2 linked regions of the Caenorhabditis elegans genome follow. The protein of the gene in region 1 interacts with the protein of each later gene in a biochemical or structural test. Each region holds a gene or a part of one and is shown on either strand. Other genes may lie near its edges. The genes, in order: sprr-2 and mihp-1.

Region 1 (6,932 bases):
TGTGAAATAAAATACGTGGACAACAAGACGGGATGGAGCACGAGCAATCCTTTGAGCCTCTCGATAAGCCTTCTTACTGAATTCTCGCGGCCACATTAGTTATCTTTTGCGGTTATCTATAAGTCCGTCCATCAAACTGATATGATATGAGGAATAACTTATCACTTTCTTTTTTCTTCTAACTACGTCGATGAAAATAAATTATTCAAGACGGAGACTGAGAGCAGGAGCTACGGGAGGGGGGGGGGGGGGGGGGAAGAAAGTTCATTTCTTCCTTGAGATGCCCAAACCAAGTGAAGGGGAGGTGGATATTAATATTTTTCAATGCGTTTTTCGAATTTTTGAATCAATTTTTTTCAATAAGTTTCGAGTGTTTTGAGGAGAGTTGTTTGAGTTTGCCAAAAGTCTTATGTTTTGCGAGATTATGTTTTCGAGCTCATACCTTATTTTTAAATGATTTTTTGAATTTCCTCAAAGTACACTTCTCGTTATTCCCATCCCCACTATTTGCTCATCAATTGAAACGAAAAGCCTGGATCAAAGTGAAGCCTTAATTGAATCCAGGGCTTTTATCAAATTATCAGATGACACACAGCCATCATCACACTTTCATTAAAAACCTATTCACAAAATAATATCCGGGTTAGAATTGAAAACTTCTTTTTTCATTTTCACTTGCCTACACGAACATCCGGTTTTTGATCCATAGTGCCACCACAAAAGCTCACAAACTTATGTTGCATGTGGGTTTGCTAGCTCCAGGGAGCTATCAAAAGAGCTATAGACAGTCTGGACAATAGCAAACCCTATTGCAATTGTTGGTTTTATATATGTTAACAACAAAATCCCATTTGTTTCTGTTGCAACTTTCTAGAAGATAATTTTAAAATCTCGAAAATGCCTGCATCCTGGATGTTTCGAAGAAAGCCATTTCTAACACGCAGGTCTACTCAACAATTCTTCACAAAAGTAGAAGCAGCTAGAACTTTTGAGAATACTTTTGAAATATATTGACCTGACGCACCTGACGCGAAACGTAGTGAAATTCATATTTTTGAGTGTTTGATCTATTTTAGTGGCTCTAAACTTTTATTGGCGTTTGATATTTTCTAAGTCTTTGTTTTATTTTATAGGTTCTTCAGTCTTGGTAAAAGCTAGTTTAAAAACTAATTTTCAAAAAGAAATTAGCAGACATTTCATTTGTTTTAAAGTAATTTGATCAAAAAATTAAAAAAAAATGACACGCCTTTGTTCCTTGTATGAAATAAAATGTAAGGCTTCTATGAGCACATTACGAGAGTTTAATATCAAGGTCAGAAACATTTTTCCGTCACAAAAAAAATTGAAATTGATGGATTTTGTACTTATTTGAACTTTTATTTTTATTCTGCTCAAATATAAGGATGAAAGTGCATGAAACCTGGGGGGCACTTTTCATAGTAGCATTATTTTTTTGCCATTATGCTATTTTTTGACCATTCTGAGTTTGTGTCTAATATATAAACCAACTACAATTATTTATTGTCATTTTTATGCTAAACTACTTACGAATTACATATTCTGACATGTTTTACAATTATCAGCATTTGAACATTTTACGGGACCGAACTTATCTAGGAACGTTGGTTGTGTTCTATTTTGCATGTCTATTTTTTTTTGGAATATTTTTAATGTACATATTTAGACAAAATCCCTACTGGCGCAACACCATTTTGGAGTATTTAAGCAGTTCTCAAAAAGTTAGCAATTTTTTTTGTTCATTCCTCAATTCCTTCAAGGAATAAGAGATTCTTAAAAAGTGCACCGGTTTTTGGAATCTCATGCCCATCCTTACTTTCTATTTAATCGCAGTGTAGTCACGCGAAAAATCAATTGGCTCTATTTCTTTTTTTTTCTGGATGAATGACAAGAAAGCGAATAAGAAAAAGAAGCGGGATGAAAAGGAGACAAAGCTTGATGTTTCTGTGCCCATCTCATGAAATTACGTGTTTCAATTTTGCGGACCAAGGTTTCTTCTCCTTGACCAACTTTTTGCGGTTAACGCTTTTGTTTGCCTTTGTGCCTAGGACCCTTCTCAGAGACTAAATTCACCCGTCGCTTCCTTCATTTAAATTTTAGATCCCCCCTTAACCCTATCCTATTTATTTCAAGCTTATCGAACTTTGTGACTTTGATCCCAACTTTCAGGAAAACACTATATTCAAATCGTCATGAGGTGGTGAAATTGTGGAGGGCATGAACTACGAAGTTTATTGCGGCAATGCGCATGCAGAGCCAAATAGCTCAGCAGTTCAACAACTTGCAGAAGCATGTGTTGAACAAGGTGAGTATAAAGGAAATTTTTACAAAGTCTAAAATTAAAACCGTACAAGTAAACCTAAAAAAAGGTTCAGCCCAATATTAGATTGGTCAGCGCCCATTTACAGTTGCATTTAAATATGTATAAAAGAAATGTGCAACAATGAGCGCTAAAAATTAAAAAAAAATTTGAAGACTTTAGCTAATTTCATTTTCTATAATACTTCCAAAATGTTTTCCAATACAAAATAAAATGAGCATATTGAATAAAACCGTTAAGAACTTTTTAAACAAAATTTTTGATATTTGGTTATTGTCCCAGTTGCTGGAAATTAAAGGTGGAGTAGCGCCAGTAGGAAAATTGTTAAAAACCACTCCGTTGGTCCCGAAATGACCAAATATCATGATAAAATTTTTTATTTACTGTCAAAAAGTGGCAATTACTCAGTTTTTGCCACTCATAATTTTGGAAGTCGGCCAAAAATTTTTTTTTTCGACATGGTTTATGTTTTAATTTTGTTTGAATTAATTGTAATAAAACATTGTAAGAGTCGAAATATGCGTCATCTCTTTAAATTTCCTCAAAAGCTCGTATTTTTCAAAATTTTGGCACTTTGCCAAATCTTTGAGCGGAAATTATGAAAAATCTAAAAATTTTTGGAGTGTTTTATTTTGATATTCGGTTGTTTTGGATCATTATAAGTGCATTTAGACAAAATCCCCACTGGCGCTACTCAACCTTTAACTTTGATTAAATTAATACTTTGAATTTTTTCTTCTTATTTACAGACATATTCAAGTAGACACATTATTAAATTCAACATTTTTGAAATATTTTTTGGAATATTTAAAACAGTACAAATATTTAGTTACTTTGTTAATTACTCCACCTATAAAAACTCGATTTTTTCGAAATTAAAATTTTCAGACGCGTCTTATTTTGATGGTTGCTCGAGAACGTGTGTGAAAGACAAGTATCTACTGCCTCTGACACAATTCGACAATTTAGAGATTGTAGTTTATGGGCAGGTTTGTGATATTCTTTTCAACTTTGCCACACTGAAATGATTCAGATTTTCCCAATTTTGGTGCTTTTCGCAGTTTTTGCGAATGCGGCTGTTGCGCTAGTTCTATCGAAGAAGCACATGATCACTCCAACTAACGTCGTTTTGAAGTACATGGCTATTGCGGAACTTTTAGTGGGACTCGTCCCACTGCCCTGGACTCTTTTCTTTTTTTCAATGGGGTGAGAGCACTTGTCGAAATGTCATAAAATGCAAATATGATTCAGGAATATCAAAGAAACACATCGGTTAGAGTTATGGTGGTGCTATCTACAAAAGTACAGTATGGATGCGTTTCCTCCAGTTTTCCATATGATTGCCATGTGGTTGACGGTACTTCTGGCGGCACAAAGGTGAGTTTCTTTTTTAATATTTCATTTTTAATGAGCATTGTGATCTCAATATACGGAATATAACTGTAAAATAGTAATAGGATCGTTCGAAATTTTTCAAATTTCTTTCAATTATGCAACAAAAAATCCAAAAGTTCATATTAAGTTTGTATTCCCGCACAAATAAATTACTTGGTTTCAAAATTGCTGCATTCTAGGTCTGGACGTATAATTTTTTATATCGAACGTTTTTTAGTTGCAAAATTGAAAGAAAATTAATTAGAAATTTCTCAGAAATTTCTAACAGTTTCACAGTTTCTTACAGTGATTTGGTTGGCACATTACGTTTAAATTTTGAGCATTGTATAGAAAATGTTTCGAATGTTTGAAAGAGAGTTTAAACAAGTTCAAACTCCAGGTAAATAGTGTAGGTTCAGCCAATTAGACAAATTACAGATACGTCTCCATAAGTCATCCATTGCATTCTCGATCCGCGTGTAATGTAAAAAATGTTCGATTAGCAACAATGATCATAACTGTAAGAAATTTTTTATTGATTATATAAAATTCACTTTTTGGGTTTTCAGGTCACATCTTTCCTTTGTGGACTTCCAAAGTCGTTTGATTATGAGTATGAAACAGTTCACGGATGGATTTATTCGCATGGTAACTGGACGTATGCAAGGTAAAATATTCGAATTTGAGTATTAAGGAATTAGGACTGGGAGATCAAGTAATGTTAGAACGTAAAGAACTTTTCTTACAGTAAGTTTTAACTTTTTCTTACAGTAAGTTTTTTAGTTTCATGTTGGCTTGAAATTGGGCTTTGAAATTTTCTTAATCGCAGACAAAAGTGAAATTACCAAGACCTATCAATTTTGGAAGTCGAAAAAATTACGTATTTCTATTATTATATGTATACAAATTCTAGGGGTTCAAACCTTCAAAAGTGCTTGAAACCTCTTGAAAAGCGGCAGTCAACTGAATTTTTTGAAAAATCTAAGGAATTTCACGTTGGACCTCTCAAAGATAATTAATTCAAGTTTACCCAGGACGGTGCTCCACTTTTGAAATTTTGTAATTTCCAAAAGTTCAAACTTATTTTCCTAGTATAATATTTCAAATAACACGCGGTTTTCTAATATTATGAAGTTGATTGAAATTCGGCATTTTGTGAATCACTCAAATTTTTTTTGTTGATATTTCATTGGTGTGTCTCAAAAAAATCCCACCAACTCCCCACTTATTTTCTCAAATTTCAGCAGTTGCGTCATGATGCCTACAGCGATATTAACCAATATGGGGCAAACTGTGTACTTTAATATTTACTTCTGGACACGTGCGCTCGGCTTCATTATTTTGCCAAGTTTCCTACTTGTCCTGCTCAATGGCCTTCTCATTAAGGGTATTAGAAGAGCGCAGCGGCGGAAGCTGCGATTGTTGAGGTTTGGTTTCAAATTGTGGCTACCTTGGGAAAAATTTTGGCACTTTGCCAAAACTTTGACCGGAAATTATGAAAAATCTAAAATTAACAGAACATGTTAAAAAAAAGCTTATTTTCAGAGAAAAACGTTCCGAAGAAGCTGCTCGGCAACGAGATAGCAATTCGACAAGCCTTATGCTAGTTGCTATTGTTTCAATTTTTTTGGTAAGTATTTCAAAACCCGCTTCAACCGAAATGCATCACTTTTCAGATTGTAAATTTGCCGCAGGCTATATTTATGGGCCTGCTTTGTGTCTGTGAGACGTTTACAATTAAGATTCCAATATTAGAAGGAACTTTCCCTGCCGTGTTTCTTATCGCTAGTAATATGATCGTTATTGTAAGTTTGGAATTTGCGTTCTGATTTTTGAAGAACTATTTAAAGGCTACTTATCCCATCAATTTTGGAATCTACTGTTTTATGTCAAGCAGTTTTCGACAAACTTTCAAATTGTTGTTTTGTCCGTAAGTTTTTTTTAGTATTAAAAACTCAATTTTATTAAAACTTTATTAAAATGGTTCAAGTAATTTGATTTCTGATCAGTGCGCAGCTTTGTCGATTTATTGAAAATTGAAAGTCGTATCTATAGCTCAGTCGGTAGTGGTGGCCGCTAGCAAACTGGAGGTCACGAGTTTAAGTCCAGCCTCACCCCTAGGTTCACCCAGCCTTTATTGGGAAGTAGAGCAATCCACAACTGGACTATCGGCTACATATATCGGCCAGACTTAAGTTACAGCCCAGTCTGAGCACCACCAGGCAGTGTACCTGAATCCCCAATCCGCAATGAATAGTTTTCTTTGAACATATATCTATGTATATCTTTAAAATTTATTGCTTTGACTTATAATTAATGAATTCAACGTTGAAAAAAATGGTATCAAAATTTATTCAAGATGAACTGTTCCACTTTTCAGTGGCGCTAGTCAACTCCAATGCGAACGGCGAATCGAAGCTGCAAGTGCCGTACATTCCAGTCGTCGACGTTCCGACATTTGCTCGCATTTGGTGAATGTTTGCACAAACTCTGAGGGATTCATGCAAGTATCCCATCATTGTCTGCACGTCGATTATCTTGTATCGGATAGGCAGTCGACTCAGTTTACAACGATGGATAGGAGTGATTAACTTGTTTTCTTTTTTTTTCTGCAAATTAAGATGTTTGAACATTGTGAATAACTTCGCCTAAATGTGAATTTTCTTTTTAATTTTCTTTTTTTTTACTTCGAAATAAATGCATTTAAAATTTGTATTCATAGTTCAGAAATAGCAAACGTATTTTAGTTTTTTCAAACCAAAAAAAAACATAAAGAATCAAAGCGACAATAATTTTTATTCTACAATTTTGGTATGGTACATGGAAAATACGCTCTACCGCAGTACTATTTAAAATGAGTCTATGGGACGAATTTGATATTACTCAATTGGTCTTTTGTATTTCTACATATGTATAGATTTATTCTGATTGTATTTTCTCTGTTTCCAGCGCGACGAACTCTATTTTATTAAATAGATAAATAAAAAAAACAAAATATTTTGCTAGTTTTACATTTTTCAATAAAATTTTTAGTTTGAGTTAATTCAACCCATTTTCAGAAAATTTTGAAAAATGAAATGAATGCATACAATTTTGGAAAATTTAAAGGTTTTTTTTTGCGTACAAAATAGGAATAATCGACCCGGTGTGAAATATGTTTGCAATGTGGCCGACCACCCCTACCACACACACGACAAACATGTTTCCGTAGCCTGTTCTT
Region 2 (4,028 bases), on another chromosome or scaffold:
GTGGTGAAAAAAATCTGAAGTTTCTGAAAATAGAAAAAAATTGCGAAAAAAAATTATTTTCACAAAAAAGTTCACAAAACATACTCTTATAAAAATGCTTTTGAAGTAATTTTATTTTCTCTAGCCAAAGACAATAAATTTCAATTTTCGACCTTTGGAAAAAATGCGAAAAAAAATCGAAAAAATCAAGATAAAAATTGCAATAAATTTTCATTCCAAAAATCCAGCTTCTCATAGATATACAAATTTGCTCCCTTGCCCCTGCCGATTTTCCATATCACTATATTCCATCTGAAATTCCCATGAGAACATTGTCTTCCTTCTTGCTTCTGCTATTTCTGCTGACGTATACAAAAAAAGTAGGCGGAGTTTGGAGCCGGGTGGCTCTTGGCTCATTAGCTCATTTTGAACAAGTTTTTGAAAAAAACTGGAGAAAAAAGTTATTGGTTTCAGGAAAGAAAGTGTTTTTACTTTTGAACTTCTTGAGTTTTGGTGCTTATTTTTCTACTATTTTTACTTTTTTTGGTGACTGCTGAAGCCAGCTGGAAATTTTTGGAACTTTTTCCTAAAAAAACTATCTTGTCCGCTTTTCTCATTTTGGTCCAGAAATTTATATAGCTTTTTTTACAATGTTTAAAATAACCTAGACCAGTGTACCTACCTAGTCGAAAGTTCCAAAATCATTTAAAATGGTTCTTATTAAAAAAAAATGTTCTGTGAGATTTTCGAGCTTTCTAGAATCCCCTATAACGAGAAATGTTCAAATTAGGCCAGAAACTGCATGATTTCGAGATGGTGTAATTCTATAACTAGAAAAGCTACCAAAATTGTCTCAACTAACAAAATATGTAAAAACTTATGGTTAACATTTTGTCAGTAAATTTTTTTGATTATGTGAATTCTTGGCAAGTTGGAGTCTTTTAAACATAACCTCAGTTTTTTCTCAATTTCTTTGTTTAACACTTGCACCAAAACTATCGAAATACAATTTATGCGTCTAGTTTAGATTTTTTCATTTTTTTAAAAGATTTTTAAACGTAAAAAGTTACTGATGCAGACGATTTTTCAAAAAAAAAATGTTACTCACTCTGCAAATTTTCAGACCTATACTCACACATCTAAAACAGGGGTGTGCGGCAAATTTGCCGAATTTGCCGTTTGCCGAGTTCGGCAATATTCAATAAAGTGGATTTGTCGAATTTGCCGAATTTGCTGTGCTCGGCAAATTTTAAGATTTGCCGCACATCCCTGATGTAAAAATACTCTCAAAATCCCATCGAATCTAAATAATTCGTATTACTTCCCACATTCGTACCGATCGTTGTCTGAGGTTGCAGCGCGGGGGTTTAGCGGAGATTACGGACCGCCCGTTGTTGTTAATTTCAGAGTTCTAAGACACTTCCGGTGTTGTTGTGGAGTTTGAGCTCTACAAGGACTCATGACGTGTTGGCGATTGGGGAAAACATGAAAACTGGAACGAACCTGTAAAATTTGATGTTGTACATTTTTCCATTTTTTGTAGTTGGCAAATTTTTTCTGAGACAAGTAACTGTAGAGATACACGGAGTTAAAATTGAAAGAAATAGGTGGAGACGCAGATAACAAAACCAACTATTTGTCTGCATCTCTCAGCCAGACACTCTGCGCATCTGCGCCTCGCTGTGAGCCACACTACTTTTCTGCGTTTCGCAGCAGGCCACATGGTCTCTCTCTCTCTCTCTCTCTCTCTCTCTCTCTCTTTTTCTAATTACTTCCCATGTACTTAACATTTCTCTTTTGACATCAGTTCTCACACCAAATTCCATTTTTTTCCAGGGTCTACAAAACAAAAGAAGGCGCAAAAAGAAAAGAAATATGCAGCTGATACACTTTATTGTTGGTAAGTGAATGTGCTCCATTGGGACCTTTGTTCCCCTTTTTGACACATTGTCGGCCACATGAAAAATGAAATGTGGGTGGAAACTTTTGTTACCAACTGGCCAGGGGAACCAGAAATAATTTTTTCTTGTGAAAACTATATTTAGACTTTTTCTTGTTTTTGATAAATTGTTTTTTGTTGGATGAATTTTGGAAATTTACGTTCAAATAAAAATTAAAGAAAAAGTTTAAAAAATATTCCCAGATAAAAATCTGATTATTTTGCCAGTATACAACTATTTTAAGAAGTTTAATCCGCTGTTAAAATACAATTGTCAGAAGTTTGTCAGAGACGCAGACAACGAGACAACCTGCGTCCTCTTGCCTCTCTGTTCTCACACTGTCTTTTTTAATCGATTGTATCTCTGTAACCGCTAGAGCTAACAAAACGGTTTAAACTGACAAAATACTGTACATTTTAAGCTGATAATTTTGTCAGTTGGAAGTTTTTATGTAACTCTTTCCACAGCAGAGATATGAGCGTTTAGTGTGGTGCGAGGAGGAGATGCAGACAACTAGTTATATTAGACAATAGAGTTATCAAAAAACTACCAACCAACGAAATGCTTAAATTTCCATTTTCAATCGTTTGAGTTTATTGAACATTTCAAATCTGTTACTGCAACCCCAGAATTTGCAGGTTTGGCAATGCTCATCTCATTGAGTTTGGCGGCTTCAGACGATCGTGTGTTGGGATGGAATAAGGCACACGGATTGTGGGGTAAACGGTCTGTTCAAGAAGCGTCGGTTAGTTCTCGGTAACATCTTGGCAACACACAACATATTTTCTTGCAGCAAGACAAGAGAACCCCTCAAAATTGGAACAAACTGAACAGTTTATGGGGAAAACGGTCTGCTTCTTCGTTCGATGACGATTACACAACTGAAAACGGAGATGATGACGTGACGATGTTGTACAAAAGGTGAGCGGGAATTCAAATTTATTGTTAAAAAATGTACACAGATCTTTTTTTTTTTTACTCTGTGAATTTCAATAACCATTACAGGAGCAATTTGAGCCCTCGATTTCTGGGCAGGATGACGTTTGCGAGAATTCCAAAAATGTATTAATTACTGATTTTATTTTTCGAAAACTTTAAAATTTGCCACGCTTCTTTCAGTTTAAACTTTTGCTCCATTAGCCATTGATTTGTTCTCGAAATTATTGATATTTTGTTCCAGATCACCAGCTCAATGGCAACGTGCCAATGGTCTTTGGGGAAGATAACTTTAAAAAAGTTGAATTTCCCGCCAGCCCGCCAACACTTCCATGCCAAATTCCACCGCCATCACGATACTTCGAAGTTAAAATTTATTTTTCATCTCCTTTTTCCTACATTTTCCCTATTTTTGTGCTTTTTGTCCTAAATTATTGAGGTTTTTTGAAATTTTTTGAGATCGTCACTCTTCAGTTGAAAATTTTTGTTTATTAAAAAAACATTTTGTGTCTACACCCTGCTTGTATTTCTTTTCTTCTTTTTCAAAATCAACATTATTTGTTCGCCGGATTTAAATATTTCACTTTTCCAACAAAAAATGAATATGTTTTTCGTGTTTTTAAACCAACAAAAAAAATAATTTGCACCAAAATCGGGTTCTGTAGTAGTACTGTAGGATTTATGTAGGGTTACTGTAACTTAGAAAAATTGAGTTTTTGCCCTTCGAAGAGATATCGGATTCGGAATTGTGGGGGACTAATCTATTTTTTCCTATGCCAATCTATTTTTTACGAAGAATAGATTAACATACCAAAAAATAGATTGGCATACGAAATATAATAATTTTAGGTGAATGGTTAGAGTCATAATTTTAGGTGAATGGTTAGAGTCATAATTTTAGGTGAATGGTTAGAGTCATAATTTTAGGTGAATGGTTAAAGTCATATTTTTAGGTGAATGGTTAGAGTCATATTTTTAGGTGAATGGTTAGAGTCATATTTTTAGGTGAATGGTTAGAGTCATAATTTTAGGTGAATGGTTAGAGTCATAATTTTAGGTGAATGGTTAGAGTCATAATTTTAGGTGAATGGTTAGAGTCATATTTTTAGGTGAATGGTTAGAGTCATAATTTTAGGTGAATGGTTAGAGTCATACTTTTAGGTGAATGGTTAG

Evidence for each region.
Region 2: of the proteins of sprr-2 (region 1) and mihp-1, one has a biochemical effect on the other in vitro, tested with the Caenorhabditis elegans proteins (2 studies listed by BioGRID, with this or other methods).

The regions. Positions count from the first base shown.
Region 1 is NC_003284.9:14,797,933-14,804,864, forward strand, and holds sprr-2 (Sex peptide receptor-related protein 2), read left to right. Parts: upstream 1-2,187; 5' UTR 2,188-2,235; coding exon 2,236-2,323; intron 2,324-3,226; coding exon 3,227-3,327; intron 3,328-3,371; coding exon 3,372-3,544; intron 3,545-3,589; coding exon 3,590-3,715; intron 3,716-4,150; coding exon 4,151-4,232; intron 4,233-4,281; coding exon 4,282-4,379; intron 4,380-4,956; coding exon 4,957-5,139; intron 5,140-5,257; coding exon 5,258-5,342; intron 5,343-5,388; coding exon 5,389-5,517; intron 5,518-5,562; coding exon 5,563-5,642; intron 5,643-6,092; coding exon 6,093-6,303; 3' UTR 6,304-6,425; downstream 6,426-6,932. UniProt on the Caenorhabditis elegans protein: G-protein coupled receptor for the neuropeptide like protein nlp-38. Plays a role in several types of aversive gustatory associative learning including gustatory plasticity and salt avoidance learning.
Region 2 is NC_003279.8:13,400,634-13,404,661, forward strand, and holds mihp-1 (MIP-1-5), read left to right. Parts: upstream 1-1,814; 5' UTR 1,815-1,854; coding exon 1,855-1,879; intron 1,880-2,557; coding exon 2,558-2,664; intron 2,665-2,712; coding exon 2,713-2,840; intron 2,841-2,924; coding exon 2,925-2,981; intron 2,982-3,099; coding exon 3,100-3,145; 3' UTR 3,146-3,471; downstream 3,472-4,028.